Coturnix japonica: one gene and its partners. The protein of the gene in region 1 purifies or fractionates together with the protein of each later gene. This does not show direct contact. Links are inferred from orthologs where the notes say so. Each region holds a gene or a part of one and is shown in the gene's direction. Other genes may lie near its edges.

Region 1 (3,500 bases):
TCAGCAGTGGGGTAATGAATTTTCTCTAGGAATGTGATTTCATCTGTGTGTGGTTTGTTTTTTTAACTGAGCAGCCTTACCTGACTTCCCAGCTCTTCTGAGATGAGGTCCAGAGGATGGCCACGTCCTCAGACATTTTTGTAGGAAAGCATTTGGAAATAGTCAAAATGCAGTATCTGAAAGATTTCTTGTGGGATGGTAATTGGTGATGGGCCAATTGCATCAGAACAGTAATTTGTGGAGCCCCCTCATTTTCCCCCAAACTGCTTCTAATTGTAAGGGCTTTTTTTGGTTTTCTCAAAAACCAAGGACCAGGAAGACAGTTTGGCAATGTTTGTGAAGCTTCTCTTTTCTGTGATAGAGCAGCATGTAGTGTTGGGTTTCTTGACATCTGTACTGAGCTAACAGCTTATGTAAGACAGATATTTACCTTTGTGCTAATCTTCACTGTCTTTAGATTGGTAATGGCTCCATGTTATTTAGTCCTTTACTTGAAAATACATAGAGGGTTTTAGACCACCTAGTAATTTTGAGGAATTTTTTGGAGATACAGAAGCTACTTTGATACACAAGCCTTTTAAACAATGTTTGCTTCTTTTTTTTTAGCTTACTGTCTTCAGTTGTTGTTTTGTTACATCCAAATTGATTAAAAAGTTGCTAATACTTGAAAATATGAGTAAGACTCCCTGGCTAGGAATGGTCCTTAGAGGAAGAGAGCTTTAGTGTTCCCGTGTGTGTGCTATGTGTTTGCTGCAGAAAATAATTCTTCATTTTCCAATCATTAGTTTAATATTTAGTCATCACGATGAGGTTCCTACTCATACTTTAGGGAAATCAAAAGATCAACTGAATGAACAGTCACTTGTTTCTAGTGTCTGTGTTTGATGGTGTTTTTGCTATTCATACAGGTATACAGATTTCTTTGCTGACGTTATTGCTGGATTACCTTGAGAACAGTGTTTTCCTGTGAAGAGATTAAATAGAGTTAAATTTGGAATTCTTCGTAACTACATAGAGATCAGTACATACAGCAACAACTTGTGTAATCAGCCTCTTTTTATTTGCCCAAATAAAATATTATGGAGGATTTTTTCACCAGTTGTCACTGAAGCATTTTTGTATTTGTTTGTATTAGTTAGCAATCGTCTTTGAGTCTTTTCCTTTTGAATGTATTCTTCTATAAGTGTATTTGTTCCCCTTTGCATACAGTTGATCCAGTCAGAGACGACTTAGCAACTTTTCAGAACTTTCTAAAGAAACCTTTTTTTTTCTTCTTTTGAAACAACGGCATATTTAAATCCTTCATATTTCATTATGCTGCAGCATAGTGGTTATTTTTAATACATCTACTCTTGTTTTTAGCAGCACTGGAATAGGAGTCTGAATGTGACCACTGGGGAAACTTTCTTAAGAGTTCTCAGTTAAATGTATTTACTGAAGTAGCATCCGGGCCTCCATCCCTTGTTCACTGAATTATTTGTGTCTTCTGTGCTGTATCTGATACATTGTCTGTAACACCTCAGTCTTGGAACTGTGTTGATTATTGTGTGACTTCTTACTGCATGTTCTGTAAAGATGGTTGATTCATCATTCAGGAAGGGAGCTTTCTGCTCTGGATGGTTGGACGTAGGTTTCTGCCACTTGCTCTTGGGAATGAATTAACCTATATCCAGCATGTGAAGTGTTTCTGTTTTGGTGTAGCTTCTCATCTGCTTAGTATACTTTACCATACCTCTTGAAAAAGGCGACTTGAATTTCTTACTCTCAAATCTCTGGAAGCCCTTTTTCAAAGTAAGAGGAAAAAGGACCTACTGAATATAAACTCGGTCCTGTGGTGTGCTCTATCTGAACAGCTTTGTTCATCCTGTATCTTTAACTGTATGCTGGCATGTTATTAAAACATGTTTTCCTGTGTTGGTTTTGGAGTGTTAGCTCTCATAACTTAGGTAATGTCTGCTAATGTAATAGACTGTAGGTACATGTATTTTTAGCATCAACATTATCTTTTGTATGGCTACAGAAATGAAAATGCTTCTCTTCCTCATCATTTCCTAAAAACAGCTCACTAGCAGAAGATGAAATAAACCTTTGGAAGTGGTGACTTATGTCCCCAGAAGGAAATATTCCTAATACACTAGATTGATATTGTCTTGAGATGCAGGATATGTTCTTCTAGCTCTACAGATTTAGCCTTTTTTAAACTTATAGAACAATATTCATAATTCTCTGAAAGTCTTCCACTTATTTATGATAAAGTCCTAGAAAGATGCTAGTAAATAAATTTTAAACAAATTGCTCAAGAAAGATGTGTTTTCTAATCTTGATGTGGATGTGAAGTTTGTTCATGTTTCCTGTGAAATACGTTAACTTCTGCAGAGGAGGAGAGAGGAAAAGCATTATTTATTGCATAATTTGTATGGAGAGCTGTTTAGCAGTTTGAAAGTATGTGCTTTCATCAGTGCTTGACATCAACACGTAGTTAGATTTCTTTCTTGTATAATTTCTATATTAAAATATTTCTAGAAGTTCTTACTACTGAACAGTTGCTTTGTTGTGGCACAAATATTGATGTCACTGAGGACTTCTGAATTTAAAACTAAACTTGTGATTTAAAAATATCCTAGTGATGTTGTACTGAGGACAGCAGGAGTGATGGAAAAGTGAAGATTTGTCGGCAGCAGCAGCCAGGACTCTTTGCTACTACTGACTATTAGGAAATTATATTAAGGAATTGTATCCTGACTGTTTTGTCATCAGTAATTGAAGGCTTCTTGAATATAAGTGTATGGCTTTTGTGGAGGATTAATATAGAAATCTCAGTTAAATTCCAGATTAATTTGCTGCTGATATTATATTCAAGTACGTAAAGAAATATTTAAGTGAACGAAGTAATTGACTGAAATACTGTGAAGTAACGTCTATTTAAATATTTTGTGTTCCAGATTTGTACTATGGTGGAGAAGCTTTCTCTGTAGAGCAGCCACAGTCTTTCACTTGTCCTTATTGTGGGAAAATGGGTCACACAGAAACAACTCTTCAAGAACACGTTACTTCTGAGCACGCGGAAACATCAACAGAAGTGGTAAGAAGCATCAGAACTCTTTAATTGTGGTGGAAATTCATTAAATAGAATATTCAGGAAAACGGGTGCAGTGTTTTTCTTGAAGCATGAGTTCTTTTAAATGCTTTAGAGGAAGTTGCACTTCAAGATAACATTTTTTGGGGGGGTGGGGGTTATTCTCAGATAATGAGCTTCCTTTTTACTTTTATGGTTGCTGCTTGGTTACTGTGATGTAAAGGTTGCTGCTTTTGGGAGCTTTAGCTGTAGAACAACATTTAAAGCATTCTTGTGACTGTGCTTCCTTTTTACAACCAGTGTGCAATTGCTAAATGAGTTTACGGTGTTGGGTAAGACCATAGTTATGGCAGTCTTTTGTTACTGTAATTACATTCTGTATGCAGCAGAAGCTGTAATTCTTCTGTGACTTGTTCTCAAGGGA
Region 2 (4,149 bases), on another chromosome or scaffold:
TTGGCAGGGGGGTTGGACTCGATGATCTCTAGAGGTCCCTTCCAACCCCTACAATTCTGTGATTCTGTGATCTTCCTCATGTTAGTACAGAACTCTTTGAGTTCCAGCTGCATTGCCCCTTGTTCTATTGCTGCTCACTACCAAAAAGAGTTTGCCCCATCAACATGACTCTCACACTTTAGGTATTTATAAACAGTTATGAGATCCCCTCTCAGCCTTCTCAGCTACCAAAACCAGGTCCAGCCTAACTACAATGCATTTCATCAATAGACATCGTTTCAGCTCCTAGATGTAATCTCTCTGGGATCAGCAATGGGGAACACTGTCTCTATCAAAAAGAGTACGTGAATTGTCTCAGCTGTTTCTTATTTCACAATGAGGAAGTCACGCTATTAGAAAATGCTGTTATGTAAGAGCAGAAAGTGGCTGATTTCTTTCACTTTCAAGTCAGAAGAGTCTGTGATTTTAGAAGTTAGAACCAATTGGAGTTAGATTTCAAACTCACAATGCACAAGAATAAAATACCTGGAGAACTCCTAGCCTCAAAAGAATCTTTTATGAGCCAATAAGAAGCACAGAATAAATCAGCCCATCAACCTTCCTTCCCCCCATAAGAAAACCCCACTCATACTTAAGATATCTCAGAGCTTGTGATGTAATTCTTTACTTATATATTACCATTGGTATTTTTTTCAGTGTAATGGCAAGCATGTTTAAAAAAGAGGCTTTAAGAATGTTTCACGTCATCTTAGCATCACAGAATGACTCACCCAGTAAGTCGGAAGGGACCCTAAGGATCATCTAGTTCCACCCCCCCCCCTGCTGTGGGCAGGGATGCATTCCGCCAAATGGGTTTCTCAGTGTTGCTGATGTCACTCTTGATGTAGCAGAAACTGATACTTCAGTTCCTGATGATTTCCAGAGGGCTTGGCTGGCTTATTTATTTACACTTCTGATGGGTATGAGTGTAAGCTTCCTGGTATCAATAGTGTAACTGGTATTAATACAAGCATATGAGGCATGTTCTCCACAGAGATAGAAGCCCAGTCTGGTGGCAGCCCAAAGGAAATGGTCCTGCTGGTTCCCCAGTATCCTTTTAATGGTGATATGACCCAACATTTTATTCAGTGTTGTGAAGCTCAGCTGGACACTCGCACTGATAACATGCTTTTAATTTGCACCCGATTGCCTCAGCTTTCTCCCCTGATGAAGGCTGCTTCTGTAAACACACAGCCATAGAACCACAGGAGGCTTTAGGTTGGAGGGATCTCACAGCCCCAACCCCAGCCGTGGTCAGGGCTCAGCTCAGCTCCCCACAGCCCCATCCCACCCGGCCTTTAGCGCCCGCCATCTCCTGCCTGTGGGCGGGAGCACCCAGCGGAAGGACCGCGCTGTCCCGCCGCGCCTCTATGGTGCTGGAGGACCGCGTGCCTGGGGCAGGCGCGTCTCGGCGGTGTGGACGTGGTGAGCACCATGCTGAGCGGGCGGTAAGGCTGGGCAAATCAACTCAGAAGGGGCCGTACCTTCCCCCCGTTACCCCGCAGTCTGCCGTGGCCCCTAACGGCAGGGCTGGGCGCGGTCACCGGCTGCGGTTGTGGTGTGGGAATGTGGGAGCGGGCTGCGGGCTCTGAGGGGAGACCTGAGGGCAGCTGGCCGGGCTGTGGGAGGGGGGCTTAGCCCTGAAGCTAATATGGAGCTAATATGGTCCTTATGGAGGGCTGCACCATCAGCACCGCTCTGATCGGTGTGTATGGGGGGCTGCGGAGATGCTCGGATTTCTCCACTGGTGCTTTGGGTTTTTGCTGCCCAGCCTCGGTGTAAGGTACTGGCAGCCCCTGTGCCCTGTGCTATCCGGAGGGCTTTTATTCCTTTATCTTTGTGCTGCGTTGCCACAGTCTTGTTTGCTGTGCTGCCTGTTTGAGCGCTGGGTGGATTGCAGGGTAGGTTATGTTCTGTGAGAGGTCTCATGGTTGTCACTTTCTGTTGAGCAGCTGAGGGATAATCCTGCTCTTTGGGCTTGTGAAGTGTTGTGCCCATACCAAACCATGAGCACAAAAACCAGGGTTAGCCGAGTGGCACTGAGTTGGAGGCTGTGTGATAGGTGCCTCAGGATAGTCCTTCTAACACTTCTGCACATTCCAGCCCCGTGCAAGCGAAGCATATATTTAGGGTCATGGCTGTCATACAGTCACAGAATGGCTTAGGTTGGAGGAGACCTCAGAACCCACCCAGCCCTAATCCCTGCTATGGGCAGGGCTGCCCCCCACCAGCTCAGCTGCCCAGGGCCCCATCCAACCTGGCCTTGAGCCTCCGGGGATGGGGCACCACAGCTTCTCTGGGCAGCTGTGCCAGTGCCTCACCAACCTCTCAGGGAAAAATTCCCCCTGACAACTAACTTAAATCTTCTCTCTTTTATTTAAAAATCGTTCCCCCATGTCCTATCACTATCTACCCACATAAAAAAATCGATTTCCCTCCTGCTTCTGAAAGTCACAGTCAGCATTCACCTCCAGTGAATCATCCTTCCTGTTTGCAGATGGTAGTGGCTGGCTTGAATTACTGTATGCATTGCATCTGGTTCTAAAAATTGTACTAAAAGCAAGGCGTGGAGGTTCTGAACTAATCAGTGCCATTCCAAAGTAAATCTTATATTATTCTCATAGCCTTCAAACTAATCACGCTGAATTTCCTCCATATAGGTTGTACACCATGCAGAAACTTCCTTCTCTTCTGGCTAGAACACTGGTATCTGGGACCAATGGCTCGCCATTGCTTCCAGACATGGCTGAAGGTAAAGTAGTTGCCTGTACTTTGAAAGATTTATAAACATTTCTCAGCAGCTCACTTTATTTATATGGTTTGTGTGCATTGTGGATGGGCACACCCTTGCCTCTTATGTTACAAATGTTTAGAAAGCATCAGAAAATGACTGCATGTTTTTGGAGGTTCGTGGCAACAAACATATGTAGGTGACTGAAGTTACAGGTGTCTGGATCTTTAGTCTTGGAAGAGCGAGCAGTTCTATTTGGAGGAATGACTCTAGCTAGAAAGTCAATGCAATAAAGCAAAGTGCTAAGGAACCCGAGTAAAATGGCCAAAAGACAGGAACTGAGTGGAAACAATGAGTCTTACAGAACAGAAGTTGTCAGTACTGCTAATTTTATGAAGTTAGAGAAACCTATTAATCTGATTAGCATGATTGCCTTGTGAAAATGCACTTTGTCAATAGAGCTTTGTGTGGAAAGATTGTTTTAACGCTCTGCTACTAATAAACCACAGCATTGCTGTTTCAGAAGCATTAAAAATGTTTCCTTGTGTTCTTATCCCATATACTGAGAAATAGGAAGGAGGAAGAGGACTGAAACTACATACAAACTATTCCTTTGTGGACTTCTGCCTGTTTCTGATTTACTCTCTGAATAGAAACCCTGGGTTATCCAGTTAAAGAGAAGATAAAGGTTTTTGGGTTGTTAGATGCCTTTTCTTCAGTATTTGTTAGAGAAATATTTGCTGAAATAAGTGGTCTGAAAAACTGTTTGGGATTACAATGCAAGCAGATATTACATGTAGCCAGTAGATAAAGGAATTATAAAGCTGGAAAGGAAGAGCTAAATCAACTGAAATCACAAAGGTATTGGCTATAAATCTTGGCCGTGAGCAAGGACAATTTGCGTACAGTTGCTTACTAAACTTCAGAGCTATCTAATTAAATGGAGTTTAAGCAGGTAAAGTAATTAAGTAAACCCCTTAATGGGTGTAATTTCCGTTGTTTTTTTTTTTCATTGTTAACCTAACCTGTGTTTTCCACTCCACAGGACAATTACCCATTCACGTGAATAATGGTGTGTTGTGGTAACCCGTATATATTTTAATATTTGCTAAAATGCTCAACTTCCTTAGCTACTGTTTTGCCTTACTTCAGCATCCTTGAAAAGTGAAGACCACTTCTTCTCCGCTGACTTGCTTAAAGCCCCCTTTGCCTTCTTTAAGGTTGTTGGACATGACGAGTGAGTGTCTCTGGTCATCTTTGTGACCAGACTGTTGTACTAGACCTGTGCTTGTTTCTGATCGCATGATGGATAACACAATGTTAACTGCCTTGTGGGATACAAAATCTCTTACGTAGCAGTTCCTGCACTACTTAGCTTT
Region 3 (3,970 bases), on another chromosome or scaffold:
TGAAAAGCTAATGGCTTTTGATGAAGCAGATGAAAAACTGAAAGCAAAACAAGTTTGCTGGCAAAATATCTTTGTTGTACTCCCATGTCTGTTAAGAAGGGGATGCATTCTTCCTTGTGTGATACACACAGGTGATATGGGTTGCTCTGCTAGCATGACATCGGTCAGTTTTGACTGGAATCAATGAAAGAAGGGACAGTTATCACAAGGTAACTGTTATCATCTGTGCAGATCACAGCTTATAATCCAACCATTTAAAAACACTATCAGAATAAATTCCTTTGGTATCTGTAATTATTATTTTTCCCTGACGTATCTTGATTTTACTTCTTAGCATAGTTATAAAGGTTTTCTAATCATGATTTTTGTATCCTGCATGATGCAATGAAGGCATTTCAATAAATGTTTTTAAAAACACACTTTTAAATGCTCGCTTGATTCTTGATGTGTTTCTGCTTGTCTTCTCATTATTTTATACGCTTGTGCAAGCAATGTTGTGTGGTCCCACAGCTTCCCATACATCCCAACTAACTGCCATCTTGCCACCTTGCTTTATGATGTATAGGCACACTTTCACATTCCTAAAACATCATCCAGTCTTTCACTCTCTATGGCTAATTATCTAGAGCCCGACTGAAACAGAAAACCATTACCTTGATGTTAGAACCGCTGTTCCAACTCCCTTCTGAGAGATAAAATTCAAATTCAGTCTGTGATTTTAATTAAATAAATGAATGTATGAGTGAAGGACTAAAAGGATGTGACAAATGAGAAGGTTTATTATTCAAACATCTTATTTCCAGAGCTATCAGTCTATCAACTACCAACTGATGCACCTGTAGCCGGGTGCTGCTGTCCCTGCTGCCTGCAGAGAGTCCTGCACAGACTGGGAACTAAAGAACTAAAGAACGCTTTTCTTTAGTTTGGTTCCCATGCTTTCGTTTGATATTCTGGAATCCAACAGAACCAGTGATGCTCCTGAAGCCGTTTGAATCACACCCCTTTCTACAGCATTAAGTGCTTTATCTGTAAGGGAAAGGTTTGATGTAGAGATGGTGTCTGGATGCAGGACTGGGGCGTACGCTGAGTTTGAGGGCAAAACTAAACAGACAGGAGCTGTTTGCTCCCTCACAGATGAGAGGTCTCGATGGGCAGCCCTGAGGTACGTACAGCACCCGCTCACCACAGCAGCCCATGGAGCGCATGCGGAGGCGCATGCGTGTGGAGGCGGACATGGCGGCGTCTTTGGGGCTGCGGCGGTGCAGTGGCTGCACCTCAGTCCCGCTTTTGGGGTTGCCGCTGCTCAGTGCGGCCCTGGGGCTCCCGGGTAAGGAGGGGCCCCGGGTGGGAATGGAGCCGCTCCGCTGCCTGAGGAAACGCGAGGAGGAGGGGGCGGGTGTGTTGGTGCGGGGTCTCACTCTTTGGGCACTGCTGCCGCTGGGGTAGAGCGGCTGGAAAGCTGCCAGGGGTAAAAGGGGCGGGGGGTGTTACCTGAGAGCGGAGTGTGCGACGTACAATCCTCTAATCTTAAAGATTAAGAGGGTTAGAGTCTTATCAGAAGTCTTGTCCAAGCTTTCAGTTTAACACGTTATCTTGCTGAGAGGGATAATAGAGTGGATTAATTCCTTGTAACGCCTCTCTACAAACCACTTATCTTCATCCACAGTAGAGGTACAGCTGGCTGCTGAGTTCAGCAGATCTTTGCCTCTTTAGGAGATGCATGAGAAATGTATATTTCCACAACAGTCAACTCTTTCTCCATATGATTTGTATTTAATACTTTTTTTTTTTTTTTTTTTTTGTATTTACAGAAAACACAGCTTGATTTTTTAACCTCCTGTGTTTTGTGTCTAAGTGCTGTTAAGATGAAACAGTGCTGAGGATCTTGACTCAGAGCTTATCACCCTAATTTTCAGTGTTACTGACAGTAGTCAGCATGTGACTGATGTTACTGCTAAGCACCTTCAAATCATTACATTACAGTATTGAAGAATGTAGAAGACACTTCTGTTTTTCTTTTCTCCTGAGCCTAAGTACTGTAATTTCACATAACATACATATATTTCCTGAATTCTCATTTTATAAAATGCTATTATTTCTGCCAGAGCTGTCTTAGTGGTGGTACTTCATACCTCTCTTTATTAGTTTGCAGGTGGAAGTCGTCAGTCAGCTTTCTTACTCGACCTGATCGACCAAATCTAGCCTACCGTAAGCTGAAAGGCAGGAATCCAGGGGTTATTTTCCTTCCAGGCTTCCAGTCAAATATGAATGGTCAGAAAGCAATTGCCCTTGAAGATTTCTGCAGCTGTCAAGGTCATGCCTTCGTCAGGTACATTGTTCTTGAGAATATGAAATAGGTATCATATGTTGAGTTGGGTGTTTGATTTGTAGTGCATGCTGTTCTGTACACAAGCTCTGTTTAATTTGTGTTCAGCAATACTGCTGAGTTTTATTTTCTGTGTTGTTGTAGGTAGTACCACAACTTTTGATGATTGGTTTTTCAGATTTGATTATACAGGATGTGGAAGTTCACAGGGGAACTTTGAGGAGTGTACAATTGGGAAGTGGAGGAAAGATGTTCTTTCTGTACTGGATGAACTTACAGATGGACCACAGGTTGTATTTCATCCTTAAATATAAAACATGTTTTTTTTCCTGAAGGTGGAATATTGTGTAATCAAAAATACACTGCAGTAGATCCTGTCTAGAATAGCTTCTGTTTAACGGCTTGCACCTTCTAGCTGTCAAGCAGGCCTGTTTGAAATGACATTATTTGTAGGGCTTCTTTTGCAAACAGGTTTATCACAACTTTGTGAAGGTGTGGGTTGGCAGGAGATGCTTCAGTAGAGCAGAGCTGTCACTGGCACTGAGTTACATGAGCCCTGACCCGGTCCCAAGAGGTTTGGGAAAGGCTTGTGGAGGAGGTTCCACCTAGTAAGGGACAAGCCTCCTGCCTGGGAGGTGGTGGAGTTGCCATCCCTGGCAGTGTTCAAGAAGTGTCTGGATAAGGAGCTAGGAGATATGGTTTAAGGGTTTTCTGTAGGTATGGTGAAGGGAGGTCAGTTGGACTAGATGATCTTATAGGTCCTTTCCAACCTTGTGATTCTATGATGATTCTATGATGATGCTGATTATAAGGAGCTGTTCAGTGCTTTGCAGTTCTCCTCTTGGAAGAGTGAGGCTTTGTCCCACTGCTGATCCATTAATTGAAGGATTTGCAGGAACGTTGGAAGTTAAGATGCTCTATATAATAAAATAGCTTAACAAAAACGAGCCAAAACAGTGATTGGCTTCTTCATTTACTTTTGAAATGACTGTGAGAAAGTCAGTCTGCATCCCGGAAAAGCCTAGTATTGTATTTGAAAAACATTTTATATTCTCAGTTGCTTTTGTTGACCTGCCGCTGCACAGAGCCTTTTGATGGGCCTTTAAGAAAAGTATGGAAGCAATACTGAATTGTTTCAACTCTCATTTTGTTTGCAGTGTTTCAGTCTCAGAGATCAATAGCCATCCGTGTCAAACAAAAAGAGTAATAACATTCCAGATTCTGCAGTGCTTACTCAGGCAAAATTTCCACTGGAGGTGACAACAGTTCTGCCTGGGTAAGGACAGCAGGATTATGTCCAAGGTTTAAGTACTTAAATGAGATGAAAGCCGACGCTTTGTAAATAGAAAATAAAAGCTGTTTCCTATAAAGTAACATCTGTTTTCTTCTCTTTTAAGATTCTGGTGGGCTCCAGCTTGGGAGGATGGCTGATGCTCCATGCTGCGATAGCACGCCCAGATAAAGTAGCTGCTCTAGTTGGAGTAGCTGTAGCAGCAGACCATCTCGTAACAGCCTTTAGGAGGCTTTCCATTGAGGTAAAGCTGATGGTTGTCTGTTGTGCAAGCAAAACATTTGGCAAGGTAAACGCTTGAAAAAAGTTCTTTTGTTCAAGCTGTACTTTCCCTTCAAGATTTCCGATATTTC

What was found. Proteins that work in one complex are often made in the same cells at the same time.
Region 2: the proteins of KCMF1 (region 1) and ACOT9 purify together in Homo sapiens (affinity purification with mass spectrometry; 3 studies listed by BioGRID and IntAct, with this or other methods). This does not show direct contact. The link is inferred for Coturnix japonica from reciprocal best matches to the Homo sapiens genes KCMF1 and ACOT9.
Region 3: the proteins of KCMF1 (region 1) and ABHD10 purify together in Homo sapiens (affinity purification with mass spectrometry; 3 studies listed by BioGRID and IntAct, counting the BioPlex papers as one, with this or other methods). This does not show direct contact. The link is inferred for Coturnix japonica from reciprocal best matches to the Homo sapiens genes KCMF1 and ABHD10.

What each region holds. Positions count from the first base shown.
Region 1 is NC_029547.1:47,688,734-47,692,233, reverse strand, and holds part of KCMF1 (E3 ubiquitin-protein ligase KCMF1), read left to right. Parts: intron 1-2,942; coding exon 2,943-3,082; intron 3,083-3,500. UniProt on the Homo sapiens protein: E3 ubiquitin-protein ligase which accepts ubiquitin from an E2 ubiquitin-conjugating enzyme and then transfers it to targeted substrates, promoting their degradation by the proteasome.
Region 2 is NC_029516.1:107,410,922-107,415,070, reverse strand, and holds the start of ACOT9 (acyl-coenzyme A thioesterase 9, mitochondrial), read left to right. Parts: upstream 1-1,349; 5' UTR 1,350-1,473; coding exon 1,474-1,487; intron 1,488-2,699; coding exon 2,700-2,791; intron 2,792-3,815; coding exon 3,816-3,842; intron 3,843-4,149. UniProt on the Homo sapiens protein: Mitochondrial acyl-CoA thioesterase. Catalyzes the hydrolysis of acyl-CoAs into free fatty acids and coenzyme A (CoA), regulating their respective intracellular levels. Regulates both mitochondrial lipid and amino acid metabolism.
Region 3 is NC_029516.1:79,418,018-79,421,987, forward strand, and holds the start of ABHD10 (mycophenolic acid acyl-glucuronide esterase, mitochondrial), read left to right. Parts: upstream 1-1,170; 5' UTR 1,171-1,194; coding exon 1,195-1,327; intron 1,328-2,145; coding exon 2,146-2,329; intron 2,330-2,504; coding exon 2,505-2,616; intron 2,617-3,723; coding exon 3,724-3,861; intron 3,862-3,970. UniProt on the Homo sapiens protein: Acts as an acyl-protein thioesterase that hydrolyzes fatty acids from acylated residues in proteins.